Linked DNA regions of Bombyx mori. The protein of the gene in region 2 interacts with the protein of the main gene of each other region in a pairwise test. Links are inferred from orthologs where the notes say so. Each region holds a gene or a part of one and is shown on either strand. Other genes may lie near its edges. The genes, in order: serine/threonine-protein kinase fused and Smurf2.

The links.
Region 1: the proteins of Smurf2 (region 2) and serine/threonine-protein kinase fused interact in binary tests that used the Drosophila melanogaster proteins (3 or more experiments, as listed by UniProt). The link is inferred for Bombyx mori from reciprocal best matches to the Drosophila melanogaster genes Smurf and fu.

What each region holds. Positions count from the first base shown.
Region 1 is NC_085116.1:10,507,918-10,512,471, forward strand, and holds the start of serine/threonine-protein kinase fused, read right to left. Parts: upstream 3,126-4,554; 5' UTR 2,939-3,125; coding exon 2,828-2,938; intron 2,462-2,827; coding exon 2,202-2,461; intron 1,718-2,201; coding exon 1,549-1,717; intron 615-1,548; coding exon 459-614; intron 336-458; coding exon 145-335; intron 1-144. UniProt on the Drosophila melanogaster protein: Probable serine/threonine-protein kinase; maternally required for correct patterning in the posterior part of each embryonic metamere. May be involved in control of cell division during metamorphosis and ovarian development. May interact with costal-2.
Region 2 is NC_085123.1:10,445,467-10,449,795, reverse strand, and holds the start of Smurf2 (E3 ubiquitin-protein ligase SMURF2), read right to left. Parts: upstream 3,073-4,329; coding exon 3,018-3,072; intron 2,914-3,017; coding exon of another isoform or gene 2,875-2,913; intron 2,733-2,874; coding exon 2,591-2,732; intron 2,115-2,590; coding exon 2,014-2,114; intron 213-2,013; coding exon 1-212. UniProt on the Drosophila melanogaster protein: E3 ubiquitin-protein ligase which accepts ubiquitin from an E2 ubiquitin-conjugating enzyme in the form of a thioester and then directly transfers the ubiquitin to targeted substrates.

The DNA.
Region 1 (4,554 bases), on a different chromosome or scaffold from region 2:
TGTTGTGATTACTTTTATTTGAAAATCAATTTTGTAAATGTATTTAAAATTAATTTTTTAAATATTATTCTGTGTTGAAGTTCTTTTAACTTTAACTCTGATATTAATTACAAATCTGATATATCTGTAAGTAATTTTTATTACCTTGCATTCCCAATGCATATTTTTTCCCGCTGCAATTGCTTGGCTTCTTGCTGACTGTGTGTTAAAGGCTTGGTAAATGGTGATTCACTCTGGACGTCTTCTGGTAGAATAAGAATGTGACCAGCTACAAATGGATGTTCCAATATTTCTGGCCAGCTCATTCTTTTCAAAGGATCTTTATGCAATAAGCCCTAAATAAATATTTTAATACTATTAAACTAATGGTACAAATAGTATAACTTAATTAAACGTAAAATGTTAAATTATTTGTGCAGTTTTAAAAGCTTGAAGTGAGAGCTCAAAAGCAAACAAACCTGTAGGAAGGTCCGAGCATTAGTGCTGATGAAACTAGGCCACTGTACAGGTTTGTGTCTAATCATGCGGACAAGTTGCCATATAGACATTGTACAGAAAGGTGGTTGCCCAGCAATTAGCTCATATACAATACAGCCAAGTGACCATAAGTCTGCCTGAAAAAAATACACAAAATAAAAATACAATTGAGATCTCAATATAATGTCTCAAAATAGGTGTGCTCAAACACATTGAGATATCTATGGGCTCAGGTAACCACATAGCACAAAGTGGCTTATTCACCCATATTATTATACTTAAAAAAAAACAATTTGGATAATTATTATATTGATATTTAGTCAGTATTGTGATAGCAAATTTTTTTAACTCCTGTTGTTATAGGTGCTGAAATTTTCCACAAGGAGCCCTGTAATGTACAAAAATGTTTGCAACTCTTTAGGATTAATAACAATATTCCATGAGGTTTTGATGCATATTTGTGCATAAAAAGTGACAGAAATATCTGTATAAAATGAAGTTTTAACGATATAATCACTTTTGTTTATAGCAAAGTGATTAATTAATATATAAACCCTACCATATATGCATACATAAAAATATTGTTGAATAAACTATCATTAGCATAAATTCATGTTTTTTTTTTTTTAATTACGTACAGGAAAATCTCTGAAATTATTGATTTATATTAATTAGGCTAAGGACAAATTAAAATAAAAGTACTCTAAAATATGTCAATTATTGTTATAAATAATGTTTTACTAAGAATAATTAATGTAATTTTGAAAATTGAAAGTATTACTATATAATATAATAGCATAGCTGCATTGATGGAACAGCATGCATACTAAGTATCCATACTTCCACACTATACAAATATTATAAATGTGAAAGTGTGTTTGTTATTAGATTGTGTATTTGTATGCCCTTTCACATCAAAACAAAGCAACAGATTGACCAGTTTTTTTTTTTTAATTATAGTTTTACTAAGAATAGTTAGGTCAGACGGAAGACATAGGTAAAAACATGTCATCTCCACAGAAAATTACAGTATAACTCTTTGTTTATATAATGCTATTTTAATATAATTACCTGATGATCATATGGCTTCTCATCAATTAACTCGGGGGCCATGTACAATGGTGTGCCTTTGATGGATGTTAAAATGTGTGTTGCATTTGTCATTATTCTTGCAAGACCAAAGTCACAGAGTTTGGCACGTCCTGTACTATCCAATAGCACATTTTGTGGCTTGAGGTCTCTAAAATTGTTATTTTGTATGATAAATGTTCAGGAATAATATAAAATCATAATAAATGAATCATAGATATTTCTATGATTATTTTCTTTCTCAATTTTATGCAATGAGAATTACTTCAATATCCAATTTCAACGTTAAAAGCTCAGATCAAATTAAATATTAACTATAAGAACAATAATAACTTTCTATCCTACTCTCAATTTTTTTACAAATTAATCTTTTTATTTAAATAAATCTTAATAGATTCAGTATCCAGAACCAATCAATATAACTGTCCACATTGAGATATAAGATGAATGTCTCTATTATAAGCCAGGCTATAGAGAAAAAATGAATAAATTATACTGATTTCACCTAGCTATGCCCCCTGCCAAGGTCCAAAAAATGTTTAGATATAATTATTATTTACATCAATAATGATATAATATTAATAATGTGTGTTTAGTATTATTATTTGATATAAAATATGAAACAAACAAGTTACCTATGTAAAACTCTATGAGAATGTAAGTAGTACAGTGCAGACACAAGGTCCCAAGTAATCTTCTTCACTTGTTCTTCATTAAGACAACCCTCCTTAGCCAATATTCCATGTAGTTCTTTCTCAGCATATTCTGTGACAACTACCAATTCTGTATCAGTGTCGAAACTGTCTATCATCCGAATTATGTTTGGATGATTCAATTGCCTCTGTATGTCGCATTCTTGCTTCAAACATTTTAAGTCTTTAGACGAGCGACCTTTCTGAAAATGTTGAATTATTGTGTAAGAATATTTGTTTATTAACTAATGTGGATGACGAGAGGTTTGACCGTGATATCTATGACAGCGAAGACATTGGGATCATGATAACTGAATAAGACCATTTAAAATTTTACTAGTAAGAAAACCTGGTTAATAACATTCTCTGTGTGTACAATTATTATTTTATCACACTTTATTAATGATCTTATTAAATATATTATTTTGGAAATAGTGGAAATGAAGATTTAATAAGCACTCGCAAGTTTTTTTTGTAATTTATTTGTATTGATGGTATACATTTATAGAAAAAAATTAGGAAATCATGAAGGCACCAAGTATTTAAAGTCATAAAAACTTAATAAATACCTTCCTTATCACTTTCAAGGCTACTACAGCATCGGTATCTTTGTGTTTTGCTTTAAAAACACGTCCAAATGAGCCTTCGCCGACGAATGAATTTATAACGTAGCTATTCATTTTAAAATGTAAAGTTGTATATCTATTATGGTGTATATATGGTGCTAATATAGATCCATTAATTTTGAAACTTCCTGTTTTTATTTATTGATTTGCATTTCTCTGCTCCAGTCGTCGTACATATGTATTGTAAATAAACATAAAATATTTTGTTCTCTTCGTAATGTAGTAATTTTATTTTTCCAAATAGAAAGGCAAAAGTATCATACCATACAGCCTAATCTTTTATAAATTTATTTTATTTTATGAAATATGACATTATGAAATAAAATGAAGTGAAACATGACATGAAATGAAATGAAGATGATTAATTTGAGACATTAATCAACTGGGATAAAATTAAATGAAATATGATGAGATTATATGCGATGAAATATAATCTCAGTAAAATGGTGGTCATTTACTGATTTTTTCAGTGGACTTTTTGAAGGATCCCGAGAAGTTACGTCCAGCGACTTTGTTTCATTTTCCCATATTTGTGCACTTTCACAGATAATAAACAGTTAATAAACCAACGTTATTACACATTTAAACCTGAAGAAACACTAAATAGACAATACATAATATCATGTACGTTAAAAGACTGGAGCAGAGAAATGCAAAACAATAAATAAAAACAGGAAGTTTCAAAATTAATGGATCTATATTAGCACCATATATACACCATAACAGATATACAATTTAGAATAAATGAATTTATTGTAAAAAGAAACCGTGGGGTGCATGGTTATAACAGTTATAAATATTTTGATAATACATATCCTGAAAACCACCCACACTTTTTTTACAATAAGATCATTTTTTTCTTACACTATTTTTAATTCAAATTTATTAAAATTTATTTTCTATTTTTAGTTTAATTTTTATAAAAGCTTATTTTTTTTAGTAATTTTAAACTATTATTTTCAATCTAAAACCAAAGAATCGATTCGAGCGTGGAAAATTGAAATTCCTTGTTTGTTGTTACAAAAAACGACCACAAAATAATTTACAATAGCCGGCTTAGGAAAGTGGCGAGGTCTCTAGACCAAAAGCGATCATAGACGCGGTTTCTTTGAAAAAGCAACCCGACCTATTAGGTAGCCTTCTTATCATATTTTTTTCTCCTACCTATTCGCCGGGAATTATTACAACTACGGTTAGATGAGCACACAGGCTCAACCTGAGAGAATTTGCTAAAATCAGCCCTAGCAAGGGCAGTGCTTCGCAGAATCTACCACTGAATCGGACCCACTAAGAATATCCAACAAGAAACTCAGTGGGCGGCGAAGTGTTCGACATGCAACTTAATCCACAGACATAATCGCCTGAGTTTTCCCCGGATATTCTCAGTGAGTGGCTCCATAGATAAGACCAAATGATTCATTGGTTACATTAGGTTAGCTACAAATTTATTTTCTTTACATTGTTTGAAGATATTTCATAAAACCTTATTCGAATATTTTTTTCAATAAATTCTTCATACTTCGATTCGGATTAATTCAAAGGTCAACCTTTTTTGAAAAGAATAGCTTCATAGCGAAGTGAAATTGTTATTGATTTATCTGAAATTGTTTTTTATTACATTAGATGGGTGGAGAAGCTCGTATACAGCCTGGATTTGGACGGTTACCACA
Region 2 (4,329 bases):
ACTCAGCTGAGAGGGGTTTGGACTGACTACTGGTTCTCTAGGAGGTCGAACTTCTCCTGCAGGACCAACAACTGCCAATGGAGAACCCTCGCCGGCTGCAGAGGCGGGCTCCCCACGGGCACTATCTCTTGACATAAGAGAAATTATGACCTGGCCTTTGACTCCACACGTCTCACCAGACTGTCCATCTTCACAGAGTTCTAGACATTGGTCTGTAATATTTTTCATGAGTTTATTATTTTAATGTTAAATGACTATTTACTTACTTTTATTCTTTAAAAAAATATCATTACACCTGCCACTAGAGCAGACTCTGTCCCTGCTACCATGCAACCATGATAGTATTCTTTTCACAAAAATAATTTATATCTGTATATTTTAATATTCATATGCACACATCTACTGCACTGAACCACAACCCACACACACACACACACTGAACTGGCATGTTACACAACATGTGAGATTAAGCTGGTAATTTAACATATTAATCAAAGTTTGGATTGTACTGCTAGTGGTAGGCAGCCAAAATCCCTGGCTATATTTTGTATACGAGAGTATAAGTTGCATTTAGGCATCACTCACATTCAAGTAGGTCAAAGACAAAAATTAGGTATTATTAAAAAGTGTGTATCTGTTACTGAACAGCATTACAACTTTTACTTTTGGAGGGAAATTGTCTCATTAGTTTCATAACATTTTTCTTTTTGATGTCATTCATCTTCTTAAGCTGTAGTATAAGTAGATATTATACTTATGTGAGAAAACAAGTTTGTTTCACATCAAACCAGTTTCTTTAATTTGATTACCTAATTATGTGTCATTTGTGGAGGAAAAAAATAATACTGTGCATACCTATATGTATCATTCTTAAATAAAAAAGTGTGTCAACTGAAGATATATGAGGCATTCTAGTGCAAGCTTTTGAAGGATTAATTTCCCTATCACAAAAAATTATGTGTCAGGGTCTACTCTATCTCTAGATAACAACTTTATTTATTACATAATATACAATCTCATGGCCTATCTTGTGTTAAGTAGTCACTGGACCACATAGACTTAACAATATAAATAGCGTAATCCAAATTGAAACATTATAATTAAATATTTGTTGTAAACTATGGCTGTACTTTTCAAACCAGTGCACCATTAATGTTTTCCAGTAGAAATAGGCAAGGTTGTGGTATCAATCTTATGCAGGCTCACGAAGTACCAGTAAAATTACGTTATCATAAAAAGCATTTTAGGCCACAATGGCTATAAAATAAAATGTTTAAAATATTTAAAAATACCATATCGACGCTTGAAAGGCAAACGTGACTAAGCGCCAATAACTGCTTTGTACATAAATGATAGACAATAACCGTATTCGATGCGCAAAAAAATAATATTTCTAGGTCTATTAAAATCATTTCAATCCTACAGCTACTAGCTAGATTCTACTGCAGCTAGATTCGTTAAAATAAATTTTGTTTTCAGGTATTTCAATTTTAAATTAGTCTACTGTAAAGTTTACGCATTGTCGCTTAGTCACTTTTGCCTTTCAAGCGTCGATATGATAAAATAAGGAATGACACAATTTTTATGTCATTGCACTTCTTTTTGCAATAATGAAATATAAAATATCAGTTTAAATTATTCATGATGAAGGACATCTTTTTTATTTATAATATCCTAAATCTTAGAGATTTGCAGAGATAAACTTATCAAATACAATGTTCAAGATAATTCAACTTCTTATATGAAATAAAACAAACAATATAATCAAAATAGGTTATCATATTTATGGAGTTGCTGATGATTTTAAAAATACTATTCATAACTTTAAAGATTCCACACTGAATGAAGAATGTTGGCAATGTTTATGATTTTTTTAAATTTCAAATTAAGTATAAATCTTTAAAATTATTCTACTTTTTTTTTGTAAAATAGCTGAAACATTCATCATCTTCTCTACCACATTTATATTCAGAAATAAAAAGTGTTAAGTCTAATCAATCGTAAGGTACTTACATCCTGTATCTTTTAGCTTATGTACAGTTGATGGTTGTATACGAACACATCCTAAAAAACCAGACCCTTGCCTTTTGTGGACTTTGCGTTGGTTCCATACACTGTAATCATTTTTGTAATTGTAATAACAACTTAAAACTCAATGAATGTATAATTTGGCTAAAATCCGTTCATTAAGATTTTGAAGAACTAAATTTTTTTAATTAATAAGTTTTTTGCTTTAGATCTATTGTTTTTATTTTCAGTTTATACTATGCTATTTCAATGCCTTATTAAGTATATGAGCATATAGCCGAACTGATGGCGAATGGCAACATAAATAATTAAAGGATAAGATAAAAGTTAAAACGACAATGCTTACATTCTTAATTGGTTTGAATGTTCGTGATAAAGTTATTTAATGAAAAATAGGAACACCATGTTGTTATTGATTTTACTATGATAATATTAGTGAGTGCTTACATTCAACAAACTTTCATAAGTTTGGAGTGCTTATAAAATTTATATAATATATTATTTAATTAATTGATAAAACATCATAATAATCAATTTACTGAATATTTCTATCAATACCAACCTTATGGTAATTCCATCTCCTTTGCTTAAATAAAGATCATAATGTGTATTCCATTTTGGATCAAGTGTTGCTTTCACTGTATTTGTTGAATATACTTGGCCACTGCCGTCGACTGATATTTTGGCAAAAGGATCTGGCAAACCTACAAGGACAGGATATATACTTCACACCACAATTAGGTACTATCATGGTCATGAAAAGAAAAATTGTATGTTAGCATGCCATAAATTTCGTTTCACCTTGAATAGTAATAATATGCGTATATCGAAGTTGGCTTTACTTACGAAAGAGATCTTTTCGGACCAAATTCCTTGCACATATAACTAAAACAAAACAATCAAATAAGTAATATGTATAGAATGTCATTAAAACTTAAATACGATCATACGAAGTCCACGAAACGAGTGTTTCGTTATTGGCTACTCACTAGTTAGCCTAATTTTTTGGGCTCCATATTTACGATTTGACATGGGCGTCGACATTTTATTATAAAATAACAAATTAAGTTCGATTTAAAAAAACATTTTACACAAAATAATTAACTTCTAAACTTCGGTTCGCCATTTTTCTCATCAATTTTTTCCCCGGCCAACAGTCACAAGACTTTATAGCCTACTTTTACTATTTGATAATTGTCTATGCTTCAGGAATTTCCTCTTTCATACTATGGATGGACAAGCTATGCGTTTGTTTATTAATAAAATTCATCTCTACGAGGGAGAAAACAATTTTATTGGAAAACAATACAATTTTAACGTGAGCATAATGTTATTAATGTTTTCTACCTATAGGTATCTAACCTATTATACAGTGTGCTTAGTGTGCACTAATTCGCACTAAGCATACAAAAAGAATATTTAAAGTTTGACCGCCTAGTTAGTTCAGTGTTTAGTGATGCTGACTATAGTACCACGAAGTCTGGGTTCGACATTAGGTTTGGCATTGTATTTATTTAAAAAAAATCAGCATTCGGGGTCTCAATGCAAAATTTCGGATGCCTGGCGATCTGAAATTATCGTGGCCCAAAATACTCATAACGAATGATCAAGTCAATGTCAATACATTACCCACACGATTTCAAAAACAGCTTATACGGTGAAGTATGTGTAATAAAATCACACTATTACTAATAAATTTGCGTATTTAGCTTACCTCCTCAATACGAAGTGTGTAGTGAGTTCGTCTGCCCATTTATGGAAAAAGGGTTTTTGAATTATAATATGAAATATTTTAGGAGCAGTTGTTCAATTCGATACTCGCGTGGAGTATCCCTGTAACCTTCCGAGAGTATCGGGATACTTGGGGTTGTTTTATAAAGCACCAGTCCGGCCTTGCATGGAGTACTGCTCCTATTTCTGGACCAGGGCTCCCAAATACCAGCTTCTTCCATTTGACCCCATACAGAAGAGGGCCGTTCGGATTGTCGATAGTCCCATTCTAACAGATCGTTTGGAACCTCTGGGTCTGCGGAGGGACTTCGGTTCTCTCTGTATATTGTACCGTATGTTCCATGGGGAGTGCTGTGTGTGCTTAGTGCGAGTTTCTTAACGTTCTCGATAGTGTAAAAGTTAAGTCAATTTTGTATGCAGTTGGAACAGAGCCCCTAGCGGCAAACGTACGTAAACGATCTCATTCCATACAAACATGAGCTAACTTTTACGCTATCGAGAACGTTAAAAAACTCGCACTAAGGACACTGAGGAATTGTTGGAGATGATCCCCTCATCTCCTTTTTATCA